Linked DNA regions of Oryctolagus cuniculus. The protein of the gene in region 1 interacts with the protein of each later gene in a pairwise test. Links are inferred from orthologs where the notes say so. Each region holds a gene or a part of one and is shown in the gene's direction. Other genes may lie near its edges.

Region 1 (3,500 bases):
GGGAAACCCTTGTTGCATTTTAAACCTCAAAAAGACTATTTTTTTTTTCATTTGGGCTCTCTACTTTTATAATTCTAGATTACTTAAATGTAACATCAATAATGACCTGACTTTAACAGCTGTTAAATTGATATTTGCTTCCAATCACAACTAACATTTTTAAATGTAATTGTCAGCTTCAAAGCAAAACATTAAAGATCCTTGAAATTTTTTCACCTTCAGAAAAAGTGTATGAAAAGTAAAGGCAAGGGAATAGAAATATACAAAAAAGTTACTTAAAACTGAAATCCTGGGGCAGGTGTTGTGGCACAGCAGGTTAAGTCATCTGTGACACCTGCGTCACATGTCAGAGTACCTGGTTTAAGGGCTGCCTGTTCTGATCCAGCTTCCTGCTAATGCTCCTTGGAGGCCGAAGATGATGGCTCAGGTACTTGGGTTCCTGCCACCCTTGTGGGCGACCCAGAAGGAGTTTCAAGCTCCTGGCATCCTAGCCCTGGCTGTTGCAGCCATTTGAGTAGTAAACCAGAAATGGAAACTCTTTCTTTCTCCATCTCTTCCTCTCTTTCACTCTGTCTTTCAAATACATGAATAAATTTTTTTTTAAATCAAATATTAAATGCTTTGATTTTAGATGATGTCTGGAGTCTTAAAATTGAATATTACCTTTTTACATTTAAAATCATTACTATCAACATCAACTAACTCCTCTGCATTAACTAAACAGATACGTATGGAAGTCTGAACTTAACAGACTTTACACCAAATCCAGAAGTTATCCTGTGCCACAGATTCGTTGACAATCTAGTCTTTTTTTTATTTTTTTTGACAGGCAGAGTGGACAGTGAGAGAGAGAGAGAGAGAGAGAGAAAGGTCTTCCTTTTGCCGTTGGTTCACCCTCCAATGGCCGCCGCGGCCGGCGCACCGCGCTGATCCGATGGCAGGAGCCAGGAGCCAGGTGCTTTTCCTGGTCTCCCATGGGGTGCAGGGCCCAAGCACCTGGGCCATCCTCCACTGCACTCCCTGGCCACAGCAGAGAGCTGGCCTGGAAGAGGGGCAACCAGGACAGAATCCGGCGCCCCGACCGGGACCAGAACCCGGTGTGCCGGCGCCGCAAGGCGGAGGATTAGCCTAGTGAGCCGCGGCGCCGGCCGACAATCTAGTCTTAAAATGTCTGTCTCCTCTGTTTCTCCTTCCTTTCCGAGACGGGGCACGCCGACTCCTTTTGGATTCTTCCTGTTGGTAGAGTAGTTACTGGAGGGCTCGGTGATTGACTGAACTGTCTCCTGACAGATGAGCTGCCCCGGATGCGGTTCAAGTGCCCCTACTGCACCCACGTGGTGAAGCGGAAAGCAGACCTGAAGCGCCACCTGCGCTGCCACACGGGGGAAAGGCCCTACCCGTGCCAAGCTTGTGGGAAGAGATTTAGCAGGCTGGACCATCTGAGTAGCCATTTTCGAACAGTACGTATGCAGCTGCCATCGTTTTGCTTCTTGAGAAGCACATGCATGTGTCTGCTTTGGGATAACCTGGTTTTCATATAACTCAGTTTAACATTTCTGCTTTGCACATAAGGCATCATCACATGTGTACATAAATGTACATACAGATTGTAACATCTCCTTTGAAATCCTGAAGTCAGAGATAGTCTTGTGATGATCAATGGTTTTGTATTTCCATCTTTTAAAGATTTATTTATTTATTTATCTGAAAGTTACATGGAGGCAGAGGCAGAGAGATAAAATCTTCCATCTGCTGGCTCACTCCCCAAATGGCTGCCATGGCCAGAGCTGGGCCGATCTGAAGCCAGGAGCCAGGAGCTTCTTCCAGGTCTCCCACGTGGGTGCAGGGGCCCAAGGACTTGGGCCATCTTCAGCTTTCCCAGGCCATAGCAGAGAGCTGGATCAGAAGTGGACTAGAACCAGTGCCCATATGGGATGCTGGCACTGCGGGCAGCAGCTTTACCCACTATGCAACAGCACAAGTCCCTTACATTTTAACTCACATAAAATCTAATAGGGTGTTGCACACTGGTCTGCTCAGAGCCATAGATAATATAAGCTATTCGTGTTTTAATCTAGGTCTGACTCACTATTTCCTATATTCAGCAACTACCAGGGATTTTTTTTTTAAAGATTGATTTATTTGTTTTGAAAGCCAGAGTTACAGAAAGAGAGGGAGAGACAGAGATCTTCCATCTATTGATTCATTTCCTAGATGGCCACCATGCTCAGGTCTGGGCCTGGCTCTAGGAGCCAGGAGCTTTATCCATGTCTCCCACATGGGTAGCAGGGGTCCAAATACTTGGGCCAACCTCCACTACTTTTCCCAGGCCTTTAGCAGGGAGCTGGATCAGAAGTGGAACAGCTGGGACACGAACAGGAGCCCATATGAGATGCCAGCATTGCAGGCGGTGGCTTTGCCTGCTGTGCCACAGCGCCGGCCCCCTACCAGGGATTACTGAAGCTTTCCCTAGCAGCTTCTTACTCCAGTTGTGGCTGTCTGGCCTCCGTCTATCGCACCTGTCCTAGTTTCTCTCTATTTTCTCCACGGTCTCCTCAAGGAAGGAAGGAAGGAAGGTAGGCCGCAGAGCCACTCCCATTCAGGGACTGTCAGCCTCAGACAGACCTCAGTGCCCTGGTGGTTCAGTAAGACAGCGATGCAGGAATTATTCTGCTTTCATCTTGCAGCAAACTTATTTTTCAAAATTATTCTCTTAATAAGAATTCTCTTTAATTTTAAAGGTTACTTGAGGTGATTTTTTCATATATTGCTTTACAGTTATTTATATGATAAATATATATTGAGTACCTACTAAGTGATAGGTATAGGGGCTGGCGTTGTGGCATAATGGGTTAAGCTGCCACCTGGAACAGTGGCATCCTATATGGGCACGTTTCTAGTCCTGGCTGCTCCACTTCCAATCCAGCTCCCTGCTAATGTCACTAAGTGATAGGTATATGGCAGTGAGCCAAGCAAACTCTGCCTTCATTAATGTCATGAAACCAGACTTTTTTTTTTTTTTTTTTTTTTTTGACAGTCAGAATTAGAGAGAGGGAGAGAGAGAGAGATCTTCCATATGCTGGTTCACTCCACAGATGGCTACAATGGCCATGGCTGGGCCAGGCTAAAGGCAGAAGTTTCTTCCTGCTCTCCCACATGGGTGGCAGGGGCCCAAGCACTTGGGCTGTATTCTGTTGCTTTCCCAGGCATGTTAGCAGGGAGCTGGATTGGAAGTGGAGCAGCTGGGTCTCGAATCTGCACCCATATGGGATGCCAGCATCACAGGCAGCGGCTTTACCTGCTGTGCCACACTGCCGGCACACCACCTCTGCTTCTAATCCAGCTTCCTGTTAATTCACCCTGGGAGGCAGCAGGTGCTGGCTCCAGTACTTGGGTTCCTATCACCCATGTGAGAGACCTGGATGAATTTCCTGGCTTCTAGCTTTGGCCTGGTCCAGCCCCAGTTGTTGCAGGCATTTGGGGATTGAACCAGCAAATGG
Region 2 (2,636 bases), on another chromosome or scaffold:
GCAGGGAGAGAGGGACAGACAGATCTTCCATCTACTGGTTTGCTTCCCAAATGCCTCCCAACAACCAGATCTGGGCCAAGCCAAAGCCAGGAGCTTAGAACTCCTTCTAGGTCTCCCACATGGGTAGCAGGAGCCCAAGCACTTGAGCCATCTTCTGCTGTCTCTTAGGAGCAGAGCTGGATTGGAAGCAAAGTAGCCAGGACTCTAACTGGCTCTTTGACATGGGATACAGGCTCCTCTAGCAGTGGCTTTACTGGCGGCTCCACAATGCCTGCCCCCAGTTAATTCATTTTCATTTCTTTATTAACTATCCATGTGGGCAGTAAATAACAACATTTACTGTGTTGTTATTTATTCATCTACCTGTTGATAGGTATCTGGACTGTTTACAGTCTTAGGATCCCACAGTTTATCCTAAGCAGTCTGCTACACATCTCCTAGGTCTCACATGTACTTTGTGTGGGTATATATCTACTAATGCAGTTGTTAATCATACAGCATGCATATTTCCTTTTTTTAAAATTATTTTATTTATTTGAATGACAGAGTTACAAAGAGAGGTAGAGACAGAGAGAAAGGTCTTCTATCCACTGGTTCACTCTCCAGATGGCCGCAATGGCCAGAGCTGTGCCGATCTGAAGCCAGGAGCCAGGAGCTTCCTCCGGGTCTCCCACACGGGTGCAGGGGCCCAAGCACTTGGGCCATATTCTACTGCTTTCCCAGGCCATAGCAGAGACCTGGATTGGAAGAGGAGCAATTGGGACTAGAACTGGCACCCATTTGGGATGCAGGCACTTCAGGCCAGGGCTTTAACCCACTGCACCACAGTGCCAGCCCCAGCATGCATATTTTCAACCAGCTGTGATTGTTAAACTTAATTTTCACTGGCGCTTTTAACCCATATATTTTAATGGAAATATAAAGTCTTTATTCTCATCTAAAAGGTTTGTCTTTCCTATAGAAAAATGCAAGGATGGCAGCAGAAAAGCATTATTCTAACACCCTAAAAGCACTAGGAATATCTGATGAGTTTGTTTCAAGGAAAGGCCAAAGTGGAAAAGTACTTGAGTGCTTCGCCAATGAAGAATCGCAAAGTTTCAGTGAAGATAAAGAAAGGTAACATATGTAAAATGAATGGTTTACCTTTGAAAAAATCTTACCTGCAAGAAAGAATAAAATTCTGTCCTATATCATTTTAAAAAGGGTTTTTTTCCTGAAAGAATACATATGAATGGTTGTAAAACATACACTGATATTTTAACGTTTGACATTCAAAATGTTAACATGGTGATGGAGTATTTTGCAGACTATGATTTCTATCTGATATAGATAACAAAAATAATAGCATTCTTTCATATGAGGTTTAAAGAGTCAGTCGCTCAAATTTGAAATAAATTAGTTTCCAGAGGAATATTTAATTTCCCAGTTGGCACTTTATAGAGCTGGTTCTCAATAAATTGGAGCTCAGACACTTGAGGAAGACTGGCTCCACGATGGCATTCATTGCAGAGTCTGTTTACCTTTAAGCTAGCTCATTTTTCCTTTCAAAGATTGATAAATTTCTTCCTCTAGCCTTCATGAAGAAGAAAAAATAGAAGAAAGAGAGAATGGGGAAGAAAGTTATTTTGTTGATGCCAACAGTCAGGATTCTTGCAAGGAAGAAGCTGAAGCTGAAGAAGAAAGTGAAGAGAAACCTGCTGAGGAATAAAACTGAGGAATCATGCAGCGAGCTCTCTGCATACTGTTTGCAGCATCAGGGCTGTCGCAGCCACATTTGTGACGTTGAGAACATCCATGGAGACAACTCAGATATGTGCGGAGCTGTTGAGCAAAGACATCTGTAGCCTAGGAGTGCTGCATCTGGCTGATTGGTCATTTGGTCACTTAGAGTAAGGCTTGGCCCATTCATTTTTTACAGTTGCTACATTTGGTCTGTTTGCAACTCTGATCTTGTATTTAAAAACAGAGACTCACAGCTGTCACCAACTGATTAGCTGTCAAAATACACATTACTTCGTTATTGTCAGTGGAAAAACATGGCTTAGTATTGAGAGCAGAAAAACGTGTTGGCCTTTGGTGACTGACCTTTTAAAAAATTCTGGAAGGCATGAATCAATAAATATTTTAAATTATAAATGTTGCCCATTCTTTTTCTCTACACTGCATTTCACAAAATGAGCTCTCAAGCTTGTGTTGCTACATATTTTAAGTTTTTTATCTGAGCCATTTTTAAAAAGGAATAAAAGGGGAAAATAGACATGCAAATTTACATTCATTTCTGCACTGAGAGTTTACTCCATACCATTATGATTTTCTCTTTTTTTAGCTCTAGTTTTTGTCTAAATTATTTTAATATGTAAGTTATTAATAGGAAAGTTTTTGTGCTAGTTTTTAAACCTTGCATAGTATTACAGATGGAAAAAAATGTGGACTCTATGAGTTATAATCCTAACTAGAGGTAAATATCCCTCTTATAAATGGTGAATTCGTACATAGTGACTTGTCCAAGGCAAATCTCCAAAGTAATTCAGGTTTAATACTTTGATGCTAGACCTAGTTGTGCTCAACTTTTTACCTATTATTGCAGACACACTTTGTCTATGCATGAAGTTAATTTGATTTTGTGAATTTACAAG
Region 3 (3,962 bases), on another chromosome or scaffold:
ACCAAAGGTGGCCTCTTGGGGCGGGAGGCTTGTTCTTGGAGCCAGTGGAGTTAAGGCTTGAGTCGAGGATCACAGGGGTCCTGGGCTATCCCACGCCCCCCCCCCCTCCCCGCCAACAGGAAAAGGGCTGGGAGCGTCCCAGGTACCAACTGGGCGCTCTGCACCAGCCTGACTAGTATATTGGTTGTAGATACTCAGCTCCATGAATGAGGAAACCCAGGTCCAGGTGTTTGAGGGCAGGGATTACACAGCCTTGCCCCCTGGACCCACGGGCTTCGGGGGCCATCTGGGAAGGGGGTGGACCCAAGGTGGAGGGAGCAGATTGAGTGGGTGCCGAGACAGAGAAGGTGGAGGGCTCTGGAGGGTGGGAGGGCGCCCCTCCATGTCCCTTGGGGGCAGTAGGGGGAAGCAGGAAGCCGTCAACAGCCTGGGAGACCTTGCTGGAAGCTTGTAAGGCTGAGGCTTGGCGTGTAGGGAGAAAAGCGGGGTTGGGGGTGGAGGGGTGTCCAGCTTGGGCGGCAGCATTGAGAAAAGCCAGGTATGGGTCAGGTTAGGGAGCCGGGGTGTTAACCACAGCTCCCTACCTCCAGGCACCGCCCCTGGGTCTGAATCCTAACCTCACCTCCATCCAGTCACCACCGCGGCACCATCTTCAGTTTTGGGCACCCTCGAGTCCCTGTCTGTCTTGCACTGGCCTTACATAAGCCTTGACTTCGGATGGCCCTGCAGGGTTCCGGCCAGGGTGGCCAGCCCATAAGGAAGCTCCTTGGGAGTAGGCAGAAAGTGCAAACAAAAGCTTGACTAGGGCCTGGCTGCAAGATGCCAATCCGGCTTCCCGTTAGGCTGCAGGTGATGGTCCAAGTGGGACACCCGGATTCAGTTCCGGGTTGTTGGCTGGCATTTAGGGAAGAGACCCAGCGGATGGAAGCCTTAATACATGGCGGGAAGAAATTTACATTAGAGACATGAATGTTAAATAGTAAGTGAGAAAAAATGTAGTCAAAATCATCCACCAAAACGACAGCGGAGCCATGTTGCGGCCACATGACGTCACCGCTAGCGGGCATGGCGTCACCCAGGAAGCCTGAAGCCGCCTGCAACGCGGGCTTTAGTCTGCGCATGCGTGGCCCCGGTGGCCTCGCGTGCGCATGCCCACCGAAGCCGAAGGGTCGCGCTGGGGTCACGTGCCTCGGTGGTCAGCGCGCGCGCCGCCTGCCCCGGAAGCGGTCGGCGCGCGGCGCGGCTGGGCGCTAAGATGGCGGCGGCGTGAGTTGCATGTTGTGTGTGAGGATCCGGGGCCGCCGCGTCGCTCGGGCCCCGCCATGGCCGTCACCATCACGTTGAAGACGCTGCAGCAGCAGACCTTCAAGATCCGCATGGAACCTGAGGAGACGGTGCGGGCCGGGCTCGAGCCTGGGGTGGGGGAGTGGGGGGGGAGCGGGTGCGACGGGTGCCGGGGGTGGAGTGGGGGCGGGGAGACCGGGCTTCCAACCGGAGGGGTGGGTGGGGAGGAGGACGGCGCGGGGCCGGGCGGGGGCCCGCTGCCCCAGCATCCCCGATCAGCGGCGCTGCAGGGCGAGGCCGCACCCCCGGGGCGCCCGCCAGGGCCCCGGCTCCGGTGTCAGCGCCCTCGCGGGGCGGGGGACTTGCAGGCTCGGGTTCCCGGGCGGGCCCGGCTCTCCGGAGCTCGGCGTTCCCAGCGTCTCCCGGGGACGTCGGGGGGCGAATCATTGACAGGACTGAGCCGGGTGATGACGACAGCGATGACGACATTGACAGTACACGACCTCGATGGTGTTCGGTGGTCCGCGTGTGTTGTAGCGGTGCCTTGGCTGACGCTGCCGAGCAGGCTTTGTCCGCTTTCGCACATGGGGGCAGCCCAGGGCTTGGGCCGGGGGTCCCAGCCGCGAAGGGGGCAGAGGACGGCGGATCCCGGTTGGGTCGTGCGTGCATGCTCGGGAGAGCCCCGCGCGGTCTCAGCCACGCTGCTCTGAGCTGAGAGGGAGACATGAGGACCTAATGGAAACTGGGCGCTTCTGTCCACTTTCTGGCGCAAAATAAAGAGGCTTGGGACCTCCGAGCAGCGGGACTGTCACCCTGTGGGCGGGTTTTTTTTTTTTTTTTTCAAACAAAATGAAGTCTGTATATGTGTGTATCAGGGAGTTCCGGAGCTCGGCAAGTGGGAGACGCGGGCACGCGCGCTTACACACACACACACACACACACACACACACGTTTGCCATTAGCCTCAGATGCCCTTAGTAGGGGCTGGCATTAACTTTAAGCTGCTGCCCGCGATATCCGCATCCCATATCCAATCACGGTTCGAGTCCCGGACCCTCCTGACCCAGCTCCCTGCAGATGAGCTCGGGAAGCCGGCGGAAGGGTGGCCCCAAGTGTTTGGGTTCCTGCCACCCCTGGGAGGGCGGGGGAGGGGACACCGGGATCAAGCCTGGCCCAGCCCTGCCCTGGCCTTGTAGCCTATTTGAGGACTGAACCTGCAGATGCAAGATCTGTCTCTCCCTGGCCTTGTGTTTGTCTTTTCAGTAAATAAAGTGAGTACATACATATGTGTTGGTAAACACCGCTGCTGTTGTCCAAAGTGAGCACTGTGGAAATGGGGGACCCCATCTCCCCTTCGCCTTTTCTCCTCACACGGGGCCTCTTTCCCAGGGCAAGGCCTCGCGTGGCGTTCTGTTCCCTGTCTGTAGAAAGCTTCCGCAGGTTGGAACTAGCACCTGCCACGGAGGATGTAGATACGGATGAGGGCCCGGATGTTGGAGGGAATTCCAGTCTCACCTGCTCCGACATCGCGGGGGGACTGGGGGCTCCGGAGCCGGTCCTCTCTGCACCCTAGAAGGGAAGAGAGACGCCGAGGGCTTTGCAGTGACCGGCTGTGCCCTCTCCCTCCAGGTCAAGGTGCTGAAAGAGAAAATAGAAGCCGAGAAAGGCCGTGACGCCTTCCCTGTGGCCGGCCAGAAGCTCATCTACGCTGGCAAGATCTTGAGCGACGACGTCCCCATCCGGGACTATCGCATCGACGAGAAGAACTTTGTGGTCGTCATGGTGACCAAGGTGGGTGGGAGCTGGCCAAGGAGAGATTAGCCCGGGAACCCAGGGCAGGGCCCCGGCTGGGTGGCGTGGTTTGGGTCTGATACGGGATGCCCACGCCCGCCCCCTTTCTGTTGGCTGTCACAGGCCAAGGCTGGCCAGGGCTCCTCGGCACCCCCAGAGGCCTCCCCGACTGCCGCCCCAGAGTCCTCCGCGACCTCGCCAGCAGCCCCTGCCTCAGGCATGTCCCACCCCCCACCGGCCACCCGAGAGGACAAAAGCCCATCGGAGGAGTCGGCGCCCACGACATCCCCGGAGTCTGTGTCCGGGTAAGGCAGGGGACAGCCCTGGGCCGTGTCGTCCCAGCACCTTCCTCCAGTCCCCCCCAGCGCCCTCCGGTGGGGGGAGGGCAGGCCGCCAGGAGCCAGGGTCCGATTTCTCTCTCTTGAATTTGCAGCTCTGTTCCTTCTTCAGGTAGCAGCGGGCGAGAGGAAGATGCGGCCTCCACGCTAGGTGGGTGGGTGGTCCCCAGGGCAGAGCCGTCCGCGGGGGTCTAGTCTAGATGCGGGTGGGCCCCAGTGACCCAGGCCCTGGCATTCCCCCCTGCCCGCCCCGCAGTGACCGGCTCTGAGTACGAGACGATGTTGACGGAGATCATGTCCATGGGCTACGAACGGGAGCGGGTGGTGGCCGCCCTGAGAGCCAGCTACAACAACCCGCACCGAGCCGTGGAGTACCTGCTCACGGTGAGCTGGGGCCGCCCCGCCCGGAGGGCTCCCTGGGCGGCGGGGGGCTGCACGTGGGAACTGACCAGGAGCCCTAACAGGGGATTCCCGGGAGCCCTGAGCCCGAACACGGTTCTGTCCAGGAGAGCCAGGTGTCCGAGCAGCCGGCCACAGAGGCAGGTGAGC
Region 4 (3,500 bases), on another chromosome or scaffold:
ATGGCTGGCTGACATAAAATAGGAGTGTGAACCCTGTGCATAAATATGACTTCTCGGCACTTTCACACTCAGGAAACTAGGCCAGGTGGGGGGTGGGGCAGGAGGCCCCCTCCTGGCCGCCTCTCTTCCTCTCTGCCGCCTGTCTCTGGGTTTCTTTCCATGTCCTGCTCTCTCACGTTTCTCCTTTTTCTTTCCTCCTCCTCGGGCCCTTGCCTGCTGTTTGTCCGCCCCTCTGCCCACTCCACATGCCTCCCCTGGGCCCCGGCCCTCCGCAGGGAGGCACCGACTTGGAGAAGCTGCGGGACCGGCTGACGGTGGAGAATGAGCGGCTGAGGCAGGAGCTGCGGCGCTGTGAGGCCGAGCTGCAGGGGCTGCGGGCACAGCCGGCCGTGGCGGCGGCGGCAGCGCCCTGCCCGGGCTGCGAACACAGCCAGGTAAGCCGGCCCCACACCCCGGCCCCGGTCGGTCCCGGAGGGTCCAGCTCCTCCTCAATGCGAATGCAGCCCCTCACGGCGGCCCGCGCCCCCGCAGGAGAGCGCCCAGCTCCGGGACAAGCTGTCCCAGCTGCAGCTGGAAGTGGCGGAGAACAAAGGCGTGCTGTCCGAGCTGAACCTGGAGGTGCAGCAGAAGACGGACCGGCTGGCCGAGGTGGAGCTGCGCCTCAAGGACTGCCTGGCCGAGAAGGCGCAGGAGGAGGAGCGGCTCAGCCGGCGCCTGCGCGACAGCCACGAGACCATCGCCAGCCTGCGGGCCCAGTCCCCGCCTGTCAAGGTGAGCCTCACCTGCGCCTGGGCCCAGGGCAGGGCAGCCTCGAGAGAGGGGCGCGTCGTGGGGATAAAACAGGTGTGGGTATTTAATGGACTCGGTCCCGTGCTGCACTGGGCCTTGCCCCTTTCTGCAGCTGGCCAGGGCCGGAGAAAGTGTCCACACCCAGTGCTCGGGTGCCCGCGTGTGCCCTCTGGGTTCTGCCCTTCTCCTCTGTTCCGTGCCCAGGTGGGAGTCACAGCTGGGCTCGTAGCAGGCTCTCATTAAAATGAGAAGATTCCAGTGCGTTCTGGAAAGCCAGGACCCCAGGCTGCTCTCGCTTTTTTCCCCCCGGGGCTCTTGATGGGGCCCCTCGAGGCTCCCCTCCCGTGGTCACCTCCCAGGGCCCCACACGCCTGCCTTCGCCTTGCAGTATGTCATCAAGACGGTGGAGGTGGAGTCGCCCAAGACCAGGCAGGCGCTCAGCGAGTCCCAGGCCCGGAACCAGCACCTGCAGGAGCAGGTGGCCATGCAGCGGCAGGTGCTGAAGGAGATGGAGCAGCAGCTGCAGAGCTCGCACCAGCTGACCACGCAGCTCCGTGCACAGGTGGGTGGGGGCTGGGACGGCGCAGTGGCTAAGCATGCCGGGACGGGCCAGTGCCTTCTCTCCCTCCTGACCCTGTGACCAAGGGCAAGATTTGTCTCTGTTTCCTCATCTATAATGCGCTCTGCTCCCAGCGCCCACGGTGGGCCCTCTGGGACGCGACCAGCAGAGGTTCAGGCCCGGTGTGCTCCATCAACACCACGGGGCTCGGGTTCTCCTGACTCCCCCAGGGCCTGGCCCAGGCGGGGCTGGGGCCCAAGGCAGGGGGTGAGGGGTGGAGAGGTGGGACGGTGGTGGCAGCTACATGGAGTTCGCAGCCGTGGGCCCGGGAGAGAGAAGCCGGTTGACCCTGCTACCGCGTGTGCTTGTGCAGGAGGGGGGTGTGGTGTTGGTGAGGGGCGGGGCTCCCCTCCCTGTACCTTCCCCCACCACATTCCACGGCCCTGAGCTTCCTCATGGCCCGGCCGCCAGATTGCCATGTACGAGGCGGAGCTGGAGCGGGCGCACGGACAGATGCTGGAGGAGATGCAGTCCCTGGAGGAGGACAAGAACCGGGCCATCGAAGAGGCCTTTGCCAGAGCCCAGGTGGAAATGAAGGCCGTGCACGAGAACCTGGCAGGTGAGGCGGTCGCTGGAGCCCTGCCCGCCCCTGACCTCGCCGCGGCCCCTCCCACCCCGCCCGAGCCCTGCCCACCGCCCCCACTCCGCCGTGGCCCCTTCTACCCCGCCCGAGCCCTGCCCACCGCCCCCGCTCCGCCTTGGCCCTCCCACCCCGGCCGAGCCCTGCCCACCGCCCCGCACCTCGCCGCGGCCCCTCCCACCGCGCCTGAGTCCTGCCCGCCCCCAACCCCGCCGCGGCCCCTTCCACCCCGCCCGAGCCCTGCCCACCGCCCCCCACCTCGCCGCGGCCCTTCCCACCCCGCCCGAGCCCTGCCCACCGCCCCCCACCCCGCCGCGGCCCCTTCTACCCCGCCCGAGCCCTGCCCAACCGCCCCCGACCTCGCCGCGGCCCCTCCCACCCCGCCCGAGCCCTGCCCACTGCCCCCTACCTCGCGGCGGCCCCTCCCACCCCGCCCGAGCCCTGCCCACCGCCCCCACTCCGCCGCGGCCCTCCCTCCCCGCCAGCCTCACTCCCCTCGCGTCCCGCAGGCGTCCGGACTAACCTCCTGACGCTGCAGCCGGCGCTGCGGACCCTCACCAACGACTACAACGGGCTCAAGCGGCAGGTGCGCGGCTTCCCCCTGCTGCTGCAGGAGGCCCTCCGGAGTGTCAAGGCTGAAGTGAGTGCGGGGGCTGGGTCAGGGGCTGGGAGAGGCACTGGGGCCTTGGGGCAGGCGCAGCATCCACTCGGGACCGGTTCCCGAATTCACAGACACTTCCGCAGCTCCCACACGCTGGCCATGGCCAGCTATCTGACTGCAGGCTGTTCTGTTGTACACGTGTGACCGTGACCATAGACCTACTGCATGTTCTCACGTGTGCTAGGTTTCACTTTGAAAACTGGACTTAGAGGGTGCGAATAGCCCAGGTCTCTTAAATGCCTCCCACGTGCAAGCCCTTGGCTCCCTGAATTCGCCCGCCAGGGCTCTGCAGAGTAGACCGCGGGTTCTTCTGTCAGCAGTGCTGAGCGGTGCGCAGCTCGGGGAAAGTCAAAGCCTGCGGCAGGTGCCGAGGAGCCCCGCAGCCGCCCGCGTTGAGCCCGTTGGTGTCTGCGTCTCCCTTCATAATAACAAAGGAGGACACACGGGGTTGGGGCTTCCGCATCTCTTTCCCCCTCTGAAGTGTACCTGGGACCTGAACTCCACCACCTCGTAGTCTCGCGTTCGGTGGTGTCAGCCCCACGCTGCAGGTGAGGGGGCTGAGGCCGTTGTCTCAGGCGCCCCAGCTGTTCCGCTGGAGCTGGGATTTGTGCCTAGCTGAACGCTGTTGCCGTCGGGTGCTGGTGCTGCACCCTGCACAGGGCAGGGTAACTGGGAAGCAGTGGCTCAGTTTCTTCACCTGTGAAGTGGGAATGTAGTAGCCCCGCCACCCGAGGGGTCACTGGGAAAAGGTGACATAGGACAGCGCATGTCAGTCAGACCCTCAGCCCACAGCAGGATGCAGGGTGCACCCCTGGTGGGTGGGCGGTGGGGCGAGCCAGGCCAGGGAGCCG
Region 5 (3,500 bases), on another chromosome or scaffold:
GGCAGTACCTGGCATTCAAACCTCATAAATATTTAATAAGTGAATAAGGTGTTCAATCATTTTTTCCTTTTTTATTTGTTTACCCTTTAGGTTTCATATTTTGAAATATATTTGGATAAGATAAGGGACCTATTAGATGGTAAGTTAAATCCTTGTTCTTTTATTGTTTTAAGTAGTACTTGTTACTAATATTTTTAGTACCTTATGTGAAACTGACAAACTATAGGAAATAGATAATTAGATTTTTTAAGTTTTAAGATATTGAATACTTTTGACAAAAAGAATAACTTGCTTAAGGCAAGCTACTTCTTAAGTAGTAATTACAGCATAGGAAAGGAGCTAGAGAACCTGAGCCCTGCATTTTTGACTTCTACCTTCAGTTCTTCCATCAGCTGTTAGATACGTTGTTCTTCTTGGGCAAATCTTTGAACCACTCAAGCTTAATGTTCTTGTTTACAGAATGTAGGTGGCAGAAGGTGAAATGGGCCTAAATTCTGTATTGTGCATTGGTTTCTACTTAAGTGTGCTAATATGACAATAAGGTCTTGCTTTAATAGTGGTGTTTTCATTTTTGTTTTTCCGATTGACCTATTATTGGGCTGCTTGGGGAAGCCTGTCAATTCTATTTCATAACTAGTGTTAGATTTTAGAAGAATGTTGCTAAAGTTACTTTTCTTTTTCAGTTTCAAAGACCAACCTTTCAGTTCATGAAGACAAAAACCGAGTCCCCTATGTAAAGGTACTTACAAAATAATAGAGAATGTTTAGAAAAGCCTTGTAATAAATTTTAAAGGATATTGACATATTTTTTGCAAAATTATTTCACAGGGGTGCACAGAGCGTTTTGTATGTAGTCCAGATGAAGTTATGGATACTATAGATGAAGGAAAATCCAACAGACATGTAGCAGTTACAAGTAAGTATTTAACATTTGTTAAGGTACAATAAAATGGCTTTTTATCCTTAAAAGATGTAAGAATAACTGGATATCCTATTCAGGTGATTGATTTTAAGACTTTATGTAAAATAATTCTTTAGGGAAATTATTAGTAAGAGAAAGTCATGCTTATTTATAGTTTTTCTGTATTTTCATTGCAGATATGAATGAACATAGCTCTAGGAGTCACAGTATATTTCTTATTAACGTGAAACAAGAGAACACGCAAACAGAACAAAAGCTGAGTGGAAAACTTTATCTGGTTGATTTAGCTGGTAGTGAAAAGGTATAGTGTTCACATATTCTGACAAGGATATTTAAACATTATATAAACTTACCTTAAATTGGGATTTATATGTGATGTTTAAAATTTCCTAATTGGATTTATCTGGGAATTATAATTATTGATGTCAAAGCTTTATGATTACGTAAACAAAATTAGCGATTCTTAATTAACTTCTATTTGGCCATTTTGGCTCAACTGTTACCTTTGAGTTAAGATATATGTTTTTAATGAAAACTTGTTCAGCATATGCTATTATAAATTTTATTACATATTATTATTAAGTAATGATTTATTAAATATCTCTTTGCTAATATCGGGTATCTCTTTTAAGATTGATTGATTGATTTGAAAGTCAGAATTACAGAGAGAGATCTTCCATCCTCTGGTTCATTTCCCAGATGGCCGCAAGTGCTAGGGCTAGACCAGGCTGAAGCCTGGAGCATCTTCTGGGTCTCTCATGTGAGTAGCAAGGGCCCAGACACTTGGACCATCTTCCGCTGCTTTTCCTAGCCCATTAGCAGGGAGCTGGATTGGAAATGCAAGAGCTGGGACATGAACCAGCACCAGTATATGATGCTGGCATTGCAGGTGGTGGTGTTATCTGCTACGCCACAATCTTAGTCCCATATCTCTTTTATCTGTATTGGCAGTGAGCTCCCTATTGAAACTGGTAACTGTCCATTAGTCCTTTCTGATTTGGTTCTATAGTCATCCCTCACTGTCAGTAGGGATTGTTTCCAGGATCCCCCTCAGATACCAGAGTCTTGGATGCTCGGGTACCTTGTATAAAACACTGTACATAATCTTTGATATAACCTGTGCTTATCTTCTAGTATACTTAAATCATCTCCTAATAAGGTATTCGTAGTTGTTTTACTGTTTAGGGGAAAATGTCTGTACATGTTCAGTACAGGCACTTCCATTGTTTTCAGATATTTTCTTCTGCACTTGGCTGATTCCATGGATATGAAACCCACAGATATGGAGGCCAACTCATTTCTTTTCCTTTGGATGATTATCTCATTATCAGTCCTAAAAATATGATTCTAGTCAAGTCAAAATAAGTTGAAATGTTTTTTAATATTGACCTCTGTGACCATTTTTACTGTTCTGCTAATTTTGTTTCTTCTCAGTTGAATGGTGATGCCTATTCCCTTCTAGTTAAAAGTTGTACACATATCTCAAAGACTCTTTAATCTTGTTATATAATATGTTTAAATTCAGTCTCTTTTTAACAATCACATCATGATGCTTTAGGAAAACTTAAAAGGTTCCTCTTTTCTAATGTAGGGGACCAACAGATGAATGAGCTAAAATTTACTTGTAAATTGGCTATCTTCAAGAGCACAAGCAAAAACAAAATTTGATGTCTCCAATCATGTTCTTGTCTGCATCTAGTTGCTTGATTAAGTTCTCAGAAAAGTACTCAAGAAGTGACTAGTACCAAGAGTAAATGCCTAGCAAACAACGTCATGAAACTTTTCACTTTGTTCCTTCTTTTTTTAGCTGGTTATTGATGACTTGTAAACCTTTTAGAAAATTCAAAGAATATCATCTTAAAATGACAATTTTTCCTTCTTTTGAAATCTAACGTGTAGGTTAGTAAAACTGGAGCTGAAGGTGCTGTGCTAGATGAAGCTAAGAACATCAACAAGTCACTTTCTGCTCTTGGGAATGTCATCTCTGCTCTGGCTGAGGGCAGCGTGAGTATCCGTGCCTTCTGTTTCCCTGCTGTTTTATGGGGAATTATTTAGGTGTATGTGTATGCTTGACTCTGTATGGCGTGTAAGAGTGAGGAGAAAATTCGCTGTGTTTCAATCAATATGTGTAAATTGGTTATCTTTTAAAGAAAATTTATTCACAGTATTCGTATCTGTATCCTAGTTCCAATCTTAATAGAGGGCAGTAACTATAAGTCAACATATTTATAACAAATTTTTATTGTATGGAAACCTATTTGTCTTATTTCTTTTTCTTTGTTTTTGTGTGTAGACTTATGTTCCATATCGAGATAGTAAAATGACAAGAATCCTTCAAGATTCATTAGGTGGCAACTGTAGAACCACTATTGTAATTTGCTGCTCTCCATCATCATACAATGAGTCTGAAACAAAATCCACACTCCTGTTTGGTCAAAGGTTTGTTAAGAAAATGAAAGCCTAAATGTAGATAGGCCTTTTGATTATTGAATGTGTTGATGGCAGACAGTTAACGATCAGTGCATATCGTTAGTGGAAGAGATATTTCTTTCTAGCTGAGAGGCAGATAATACTAGGT
Region 6 (3,988 bases), on another chromosome or scaffold:
TTTCAATACATATGTACATATGTACAACATGTAATGATCAGGCATACCTATCACCTCAGACTCACATACTTTTCTTGTGCTAGGAACATTCAAAATCCTCTTCAAATTCTGTTTCTAGCATACCATCTCCCAGATTTTAAAATACCTCGTCACACAGAAGGGGGGAACTCTGTTCCTCGTGTTCACCCTAGAGAGAAAGCAGCTAGGTGGCTATTTTGAAATATTCAATTAATTCTTGCCAATCAGAGTTATCCTGCCCAACTGCACCCCTGGACCCATTAGCTATCCTCTCTCCAACCCCCTAAAAATACATTTTATAAATGATAGTCTGTGCAGCCCCAAATAATCTTTTTTCCTAAAGTGTCATATTTCACAATTCTTGCTAATCTGTTTGAAAACAGCAAGGACAAAATGGTTTGAAATGGTTTGACCTATCAACCACTAAAGCTGAATCTAGAATAAAAGATCCAGGGTTCCTAGCTTAATTTTAAACCATCTACGTATCCCATCAGAAAACTGAAAAGGGCCAACAATGTGAGAGTATTTACCCATCTTAAAAGATCATTATACAGAATTTCGAAAGGTTTTCGCCTCAGAAGGACTCCTAGGTGAGATGGGTGGTCATTTCATATTGCCCATTTTTGTCGTGACCTCATCCAGGCTACAGTTTATTTGTGGACCCTTTCCTTGAGCAGTGTGGGGGAAGGGACCTGGTGTAAATCCTGAAGCCCCTTTCCCAACCCTTCACACACCTGATACGTGGGAAGAGAGTGAGGCAAAGAGGATCTCACACGGTATCACCCAGCCGTCTTCTCTACAGGATGGAATAGGGTGCAGGGTTTCTCTCTTCACGACTAGGTGTTTTAAAATCTGGGTGGGAGATGGCATGCTCTAAACCTAGAATTTAAAAAAAAAATAAGGGGACTTTTTTTTTAACGTCAAGGGTAGTCTTTTCACTGCTCTCGACAGCCTTTCCAGACCGCCAAACGAGACCAGGCTTTGCGTTCAGAGCGTGCCGTAGGATCCGCAGCCACGACCCCTCGGAGTGGTGGGGACCAGGCAGGCGGGGGAGTAGGAAAGCTTCATGGTGAAAAACGGGGAAGGCGTCAGGTCGGCCGCGATTGGCGCGTGCTGGCACCGGGAAGCGGGAGGAGGGCGAGCGAGAAGCAGGGCCTCGGACGTGATTGGTTGCGGCGGCATATTTGGCTTTCTCTGATTGGCTCCGAGTTGGGGACAGCGGCACAGCGGCAAAAAAACATGGAAGCTGCCAGTCAGTGAGCAAGTGCTGACCGTTCTGGGCTCGCTGCTGCGGAGGTGGGTCGGAGTCCTATTGTCACATACGCTTTGGCCATTGTCCGTTTGTATATTCCGCTTCCCAGCCGGGTGCGACCTAGGATTTTACTTTCCCTCGGCCTAGCCAAATTTTTTTTTTCTTACTTGAGACACCACAGCATTTCTGTTATTCTGTTGGGGATAAACGGAGACGCTAGGGTCTGAGAAGTAATCATGAGGAGAAATGCCTAAAAATCTTTACAAGTGAGGGGCGGGCGGGAGAAAAAACTCTCCGCCTGCGGGCGCCCAGATCTTTACCGACTGCCCGGCTTCCACCGAGACGACTCAGTGCTGTTCCCCTCTGGGGGGAGGCTCGGCCCCTCCCTGGAGGATCTCGGCAGTAGAGGGGGGTCGCGCCGCCCAGCCCTGCGCCCTAACGGCGGGGTCGCCTCCCAGACCCCGCGTGCTCTCCGCAGCTCCCCCTCCCAGGCGCACGGTCTCCGCCCGGCGCGGTCCCTACACCCCCCCTGCCCGCCCTCCGCGCGCCCCGGGGCCCTCCCCACCGCGGGTCCCAGGCCGCCCCCCTCCCGCCCCCGGGCGCGCGTCGGCGGGCGCGTGGGGGCCTCTGGTTCCGCGCGCTCCCGGGCGGAGACGCGGCGCGAGGGGCTCGGACGCGGCCCCCGGCCCGCGGGGGTGCCAGGTCAGCCTCCCGCCTCCGGCCCGGCAGTGCTGGGGACCGGTCTTGGGGCAGTAACAAGCAGATCCGCCTCTGGTCACAACCCCGGGTTTTCACGCAGGAGGCGTGAAGGCCGGCGACTCTCCTCAGCCACCATTCCCCGAGCATCTCTCCTCGGCCTTCCTGTCCCCTCAGACAGCAGCCGGGCTTCCCCCTGCAGCTTTCCACCCGTCGGTGTGAGAGAACGGCCCGCTTTTTTTTTTTTTTTCCTTCCCCCCTCCTCAGGGAGCTTCTCCGGCCGGGCTTCCCCTCGCCGTCAAGAAGGGAAGAAGGGAAGCCAGGCGGCCGCGACAGCCGAGCTCTCGCCATCTTGAGTGGAGGAGGAGCCGCGGCCGCCGCCATGCGGAGAGGCAGGGAAAGAGGGAGGGAGGGAGGCGGCGGCGGGCGGGCGAGGGAGGGGGCAGACAGCCGAGTTAGCTCAGCTCGGCGGCGACTTCGGCGGCGCCGAGAGAGCGGGCAGCGGCGGAGGTAGGCTGGGCGGCCCGGCAGCCGGCGGCGCGGGCTGCCGGCGGCGCGGCCCCGGGAGTGCGGCGGGGGCGGGGGCGGGGGCGGCCACAGCGAGGGGCCGGGTGGGGGCGGGCGGAGGTTTCCGAGGAGGAAGGAGCCGCCGCCATTTTGGGAGCTTCGAGTCAACAATAAAGGACCGAGGGTGCCGAGCGGGAGTGGCCTCGGTGGTAGGACTCGGGCCAGAGCCGCGGGGCGCGGGGGTGAGGCGGCGGGGTCGAGGTCGGCGGTGCCGTGGGGGCTTCAGGGAGCCCCTCGGGCCGGCGAGGGGTTCGCTCCGGGCGGAGGCCCAAGGCCTGGCCGGGCCTGGGGGAGGAAGGGCGGGCGGCAGCTGTGTGGGGTGGGGGCGCCTCAGAGGAGTCGAATATGGGAATGCAGTGCGCGGCGGGGTCAGGAGGAGGAGCGGGCCGAGTGCTCCGAGGAGTTTTGTGGAAGACGAGGGGCTGTGGGGACCCGAGGGGGCGGTAAGGGCTGGGGGGGAGATGATGTTGGAGGTTATGGGGTACGAGGCAGCCCTACAGGGGGCGGCACGGATCTGCCGTGTTGGAGGGCTCCGGCTGGAGGAGGACCGGCTGCTGCCTGATTGCAGTAGGCCTTGTAGGTCGATAAACAGAGGGTGTTGGTGGAGCCCCCGGGTCGCGGAGGGAAGGAGGGGCGTCCTAGGTTGTAGGGGTCTCTTCGGGCCCTTTATTGGAGCAGTCCCTATTGTTTGCTGCCGCGGAGCTGAGTTTTGGCCCTTGTTGCGCAGATAGGATTGCGGGGACCCAACCGTTTTGTTTTTGTGGTCTGAAGGAGCTGACTCGAAGTGTGAGACTGGGGGGAGGCAGGGGAAGAAATGAGTGCCATACAGTTGCGGGGCTCCCGACACTGGCTTGACTCCTTTTCCGCGATCCCCCGCTCCCTCTCTTCGGAATAAAACCCAGTCACTCCAACTTGCAGCCAGAGCTTGGAGAAACTGCGCTGCATTTGCAAACAAAAGCTCTCGTTGGAGATGACGGTACTGTTTTGGGTGTGAAACTGTCAATTGCTAACTACGATCTGGGAAGTGCTGTAATTAATTCCACCAGGGGCTCCTCCCAGATAGTCTACGTTTTGTCTTTTTTTTTTTTTTTTTTTCTTAACGTAGAACTATAACCTGCACATCTAAATTGGGAAGGGGTAGGAGGAATATTTCCTCTCTGAGACATAAAGCTGCAGTGCAGGTTTCAGTTTAAGAGGGGAGCAGTTAGCACATAGTCTTATTTTGGATTTAGGGAGATGCGCGGTGATGGGCAGTAATGAAGATACGGTTTCGTTTTTAAGAGATTGCCTTGTTCATCCTCCTAATGTTTTGCAAACAAATAAGTCTCCCTATATGAACTATGTGATACGGTTGATCATAATCTAAAGCTGTCAATACGGGAAAGGTTCATAACCTCCTCTAAGTGCTCTGATTCAGGAAGACTTTAAAAATAAACAGCTCTGTGTATGTGAGAA
Region 7 (3,500 bases), on another chromosome or scaffold:
GCGTGCATGCCCCCGGCACCTGCCTGGCTCCCTGCTTGTTCTGTCACCCTGGGCGCCCTCTGTGGACGTGGGTGACTCCCCTCCCTCCCCTTCCTGTGGTTGGTGGTTGTTTCCAAGTCTTTGTGTTGCTAAATCTTTGCAAATGGTGGCATTTCTAGAAGCCCTTGTTCAGCTAAAGGTGATCCAAGATCCAGGATCCAAAAGGCTCCAAACCGTAACCGTTGGGCACAGATGTGTATCTCAGCAGTGAGACGAGTGCGGCCCGGTCTCCGGTGCGGTGAGTGAGGCCAGCACTCCTGCAGCTGCGAAGCAGCCGGGGGCGGCGGGGTGCTCAGTGTTCCAGCCCCTGCCAGCCCCTGCAAGGCCCCGGGTGGAGCTCCTGGCTCCTGGCTTCAGCCTGGCCCAGCCCGGCTGTTGTGGGCATTTGGTGAACCAGCGGATGAGGGCCTCTCCGCCTCTCCCATAGATGAACCCTAAAACGTGCAGACCCCAGGTGCAGCTTTTCCGTGTTGTGCCTGCACGACGCGGGCAGGGAGTGAGCTCTGTGCGCCTGTGTGGGGTCCTCTCCCCAGGCGTGGGTCTTCCAGTTGGAGGAAAGCCTGCGGCCTACTCAGCCTGTTCCGAATTGGGAGGCTTGTGTCAGGAGTGCGGGGGTGTCTGGCAGCTCCCCCCGCCAGCAGCCCTGTCCAGCCATCCTGGGCACAGTCACAGCTGCCGGCGCCACTCAGCTGTTGGCCTGAGGACGGCGGCGGCTGCGGCCGCCACTCAGCTGTTGGCCTGAGGACGGCGGCGGCTGCAGCCGCGGAGCTACCCCCGTAGGGCCAGATACGCGTGCCCTCTTGAAATGATGCAGTCGGGATTTCTGTGTCTTATTGGGCAAGGTGAAAGGTCACGGCCCTGTGTCTGCCCGCGCCATTTCCTCTTCGTTGTCTCTTCTGGGTCTTGGTTTTGGTTTTGCTGCCCACTGGGAGCTGAGGGTCGAGGCGCCGCTGTTGCAGTCACTCCAGCCCGTCTGCCGGGACTGACTGCTTCTGTCTGGGGTGGGGTCGTTGGGGAGGGGCCAAGGCTATGGCCAGGGTGTGGCCACAGTCACCGTGGCCCAGGACACGTGGACAGGCAGAGGTTGAGTGTGTGCAGGAGCGAGACTGGCTGCTGCCACGTGGTCCCTGTAGCCCAGGACACGTGGATGAGCAGAGGCCCAGTGTGTGCATGCCTCTGTGAGCACAGGCATGTGCGTGCGAGAGCACACGCGTGTGTGCGTGCCCTCCGTCAGCAGCCGGTGTGGCTCTCTGCAGGTTCTCCCACGGGCAGGTGGTCCCTGTCGATGAGCTGCGTCCCTTCCAGGACCCGGACCTGAGCTCCCTGCAGGTCGGCTCTGCGTGTCTGGCCAAGCACCAGGACGGCCTCTGGCACCCAGCGCGGATCACTGGTGAGGCTGGCCCGGTCACCTTCCTGGGAAGGCCTCCGAGCGCCTCCCTGGGGTGGACCCTGCCTGGTCCCCTGCTCCCCGCTTGTAGCCGCTCACCTCAGCCTGCCTGTCCTTGCAGATGTGGACAGTGGCTACTACACAGTCAAGTTCGACTCCCTGCTGCTGAAGGAAGCGGTGGTGGAAGGCGACGGCGTCCTGCCCCCACTGCGCACGGAAGCCACCGAGTCCTCCGACTCGGAGAGCAGCGACACAGACGGCGCCAGCTATGCCCGCGGTACGGCCACGGCCTGGTGCCCAGGAGCCAGGACGGGGGGACGCCCAGCGGGGCCAGTGGGGACTGCTGCTTCGGTCCTCGCTGAGCATGCGCGGGAGGACTGGCCGTGCAGCCCCAGGGCCTGGCACCAGGGGGCGTCCAGACAGCGTCCAGACTGCTGGGGCAGAAGTGGCCGGCAGGGAAGCTGGTGGGCGTGGCCAGCCCTCCAGAGACTGGTGTGTCCCTGGCCCTGTACCCTGGGCGATGCAGGCAGGATCGAGGGTGGGATTTGGAGAAGGGGCCATAGCGAGGTGTGGGGGGAGCTGGGGGCGGTCACGAGCCCACAGGTGCACAGGGACGTGCCCGGGAGCTGGGATCTGGCCTGGCCCAGTGACTGCCGTCTTGTCCCCTGCAGTGGTGGAGCCGAGCGCCGTGGACACTGGGACCTGCAGCTCTGCCTTTGCTGGCTGGGAGGCGCACACGCGGGCCATCGGCTCCAGACTCCTGGCTAAGATGGGCTATGAGTTTGGCAAGGGTGAGCGTGAGCTGTCAGCTGCCCGGAGGCGGGGGAGGGTGCCCAGGACAGCCCTGGGGTGCAGCAGCAGCACGGCCAGCCCCTGTCTCCCCAGGCCTGGGCCGCAACCTGGAAGGCAGGGTGGAGCCCGTGCAGGCGGTGGTGCTGCCGCGGGGGAAGTCGCTGGACCAGTGTGCGGAGATCCTGCAGAAGAGGGCGCAGGGGGATGGGGCAGGCGCCAGCAGGGCCCCGCGGAGCCGGGGGCGTGGGGGCGGGCCCGGGGGTGCCCCGCCCCCTCGGAGCCTGTTTGACTTCCTGAATGAGAAGCTTCAAGGCCAGGCCCCTGGGGCTCCGGAGGCCGAGGTGGCCCCGTCCAGGAGGGGCAAGGACATGTACCACGCCAGCAAGAGCGCCAAGCAGGCCCTGAGCCTGCGGCTCCTCCAGACGGAAGAGAAGATCGAGCGGACACAGCGGGACATCCGGGCCATCCAGGAGGCCCTGGCCCGGAACACCGGCCGGTATGTAGGCTGCGGACACCTGGCCCGGAAGCAGCAGGCTGGCCTGGGGGCAGTGGGCCGGGGTCCATGCTGACTGCTCCCTCCCTAGGTACAGCGTGGCCGCCGCCCAGCTGGAAGAGAAACTGGCAGGAGCCCAGCGGCGGCTGGGGCAGCTCCGCGCCCAGGAGGCCGGCCTGCAGCGGGCGCAGAGCAAGGCAGACACCCACAAGAAGATGACGGAGTTCTAGAGGCCCCACCCCTGGGGCTGGAGGCCCAGGACCCCGCCCCCGGGGCCGCCCTGACCCCAGGACACTGCCTGAAGAAGGACTCTGCTCCCAGGCTGCCCCGTGGTGGGCTCCCTGGCCTCGGGGGCACAGACGCTGTCCAGTGGAGGTGGGGCTGGAGGGTCACTTCCGGACACCTGCCGTGTGCTGGGCCTCTCCTTAGGACATTAAAGTCACTTCATCAGTGTTCCGTGGAGGCTGAGCTGTGGGTCGGGGCGGGGGGGGCACGCTGCACAGGGCTCCAGGAAGGCTGTGGGGGTCGGGGGGGGCCACGATGCACAGGGGGCTCAGGAAAGCTGTGGGTGTCGGGGGGGGGGGCACGCTGCACAGGGCTCCAGGAAGGCTGTGGGTGTCGGGGCCACGCTGCACAGGGCTCCAGGAAGGCTGTGGGTGTCAGGGGGGGGCACGCTGCACAGGGCTCCAGGAAGGCTGTGGGGGTCGGGGGGGGCACGCTGCACAGGGCTCCAGGAAGGCTGGTGTCCTCCCTGTCTCCCAGCCGAGGGGGTCGGCCCCGTGCCCTGTT

What was found.
Region 2: the proteins of ZBTB8A (region 1) and FAM161A interact in binary tests that used the Homo sapiens proteins (3 or more experiments, as listed by UniProt). The two-hybrid records come from large-scale screens. The link is inferred for Oryctolagus cuniculus from reciprocal best matches to the Homo sapiens genes ZBTB8A and FAM161A.
Region 3: the proteins of ZBTB8A (region 1) and RAD23A interact in binary tests that used the Homo sapiens proteins (3 or more experiments, as listed by UniProt). The two-hybrid records come from large-scale screens. The link is inferred for Oryctolagus cuniculus from reciprocal best matches to the Homo sapiens genes ZBTB8A and RAD23A.
Region 4: the proteins of ZBTB8A (region 1) and KIFC3 interact in binary tests that used the Homo sapiens proteins (3 or more experiments, as listed by UniProt). The two-hybrid records come from large-scale screens. The link is inferred for Oryctolagus cuniculus from reciprocal best matches to the Homo sapiens genes ZBTB8A and KIFC3.
Region 5: the proteins of ZBTB8A (region 1) and KIF5B interact in binary tests that used the Homo sapiens proteins (3 or more experiments, as listed by UniProt). The two-hybrid records come from large-scale screens. The link is inferred for Oryctolagus cuniculus from reciprocal best matches to the Homo sapiens genes ZBTB8A and KIF5B.
Region 6: the proteins of ZBTB8A (region 1) and DDX6 interact in binary tests that used the Homo sapiens proteins (3 or more experiments, as listed by UniProt). The two-hybrid records come from large-scale screens. The link is inferred for Oryctolagus cuniculus from reciprocal best matches to the Homo sapiens genes ZBTB8A and DDX6.
Region 7: the proteins of ZBTB8A (region 1) and ZGPAT interact in binary tests that used the Homo sapiens proteins (3 or more experiments, as listed by UniProt). The two-hybrid records come from large-scale screens. The link is inferred for Oryctolagus cuniculus from reciprocal best matches to the Homo sapiens genes ZBTB8A and ZGPAT.

What each region holds. Positions count from the first base shown.
Region 1 is NC_091438.1:139,931,921-139,935,420, reverse strand, and holds part of ZBTB8A (zinc finger and BTB domain-containing protein 8A), read left to right. Parts: intron 1-1,290; coding exon 1,291-1,460; intron 1,461-3,500. UniProt on the Homo sapiens protein: May be involved in transcriptional regulation.
Region 2 is NC_091433.1:140,969,778-140,972,413, forward strand, and holds the end of FAM161A (protein FAM161A), read left to right. Parts: intron 1-961; coding exon 962-1,116; intron 1,117-1,572; coding exon 1,573-1,708; 3' UTR 1,709-2,136; downstream 2,137-2,636. UniProt on the Homo sapiens protein: Involved in ciliogenesis.
Region 3 is NC_091447.1:62,405,102-62,409,063, forward strand, and holds the start of RAD23A (UV excision repair protein RAD23 homolog A), read left to right. Parts: upstream 1-1,162; 5' UTR 1,163-1,322; coding exon 1,323-1,394; intron 1,395-2,913; coding exon 2,914-3,075; intron 3,076-3,198; coding exon 3,199-3,380; intron 3,381-3,508; coding exon 3,509-3,564; intron 3,565-3,669; coding exon 3,670-3,797; intron 3,798-3,877; coding exon 3,878-3,956; intron 3,957-3,962. UniProt on the Homo sapiens protein: Multiubiquitin chain receptor involved in modulation of proteasomal degradation. Binds to 'Lys-48'-linked polyubiquitin chains in a length-dependent manner and with a lower affinity to 'Lys-63'-linked polyubiquitin chains.
Region 4 is NC_091449.1:41,234,508-41,238,007, reverse strand, and holds part of KIFC3 (kinesin-like protein KIFC3), read left to right. Parts: intron 1-275; coding exon 276-434; intron 435-531; coding exon 532-771; intron 772-1,177; coding exon 1,178-1,351; intron 1,352-1,819; coding exon 1,820-1,967; intron 1,968-2,497; coding exon 2,498-2,628; intron 2,629-3,500. UniProt on the Homo sapiens protein: Minus-end microtubule-dependent motor protein. Involved in apically targeted transport. Required for zonula adherens maintenance.
Region 5 is NC_091444.1:102,466,854-102,470,353, reverse strand, and holds part of KIF5B (kinesin-1 heavy chain), read left to right. Parts: intron 1-90; coding exon 91-139; intron 140-683; coding exon 684-739; intron 740-828; coding exon 829-916; intron 917-1,098; coding exon 1,099-1,223; intron 1,224-2,821; coding exon 2,822-2,926; intron 2,927-3,215; coding exon 3,216-3,361; intron 3,362-3,500. UniProt on the Homo sapiens protein: Microtubule-dependent motor required for normal distribution of mitochondria and lysosomes. Can induce formation of neurite-like membrane protrusions in non-neuronal cells in a ZFYVE27-dependent manner.
Region 6 is NC_091432.1:111,456,547-111,460,534, forward strand, and holds the start of DDX6 (probable ATP-dependent RNA helicase DDX6), read left to right. Parts: upstream 1-1,188; 5' UTR 1,189-1,314; intron 1,315-1,886; exon of another isoform or gene 1,887-2,358; intron 2,359-2,377; exon of another isoform or gene 2,378-2,476; intron 2,477-2,554; exon of another isoform or gene 2,555-2,976; intron 2,977-3,988.
Region 7 is NC_091442.1:341,323-344,822, reverse strand, and holds the end of ZGPAT (zinc finger CCCH-type with G patch domain-containing protein), read left to right. Parts: intron 1-1,295; coding exon 1,296-1,429; intron 1,430-1,547; coding exon 1,548-1,703; intron 1,704-2,097; coding exon 2,098-2,217; intron 2,218-2,311; coding exon 2,312-2,714; intron 2,715-2,802; coding exon 2,803-2,941; 3' UTR 2,942-3,164; downstream 3,165-3,500. UniProt on the Homo sapiens protein: Transcription repressor that specifically binds the 5'-GGAG[GA]A[GA]A-3' consensus sequence. Represses transcription by recruiting the chromatin multiprotein complex NuRD to target promoters.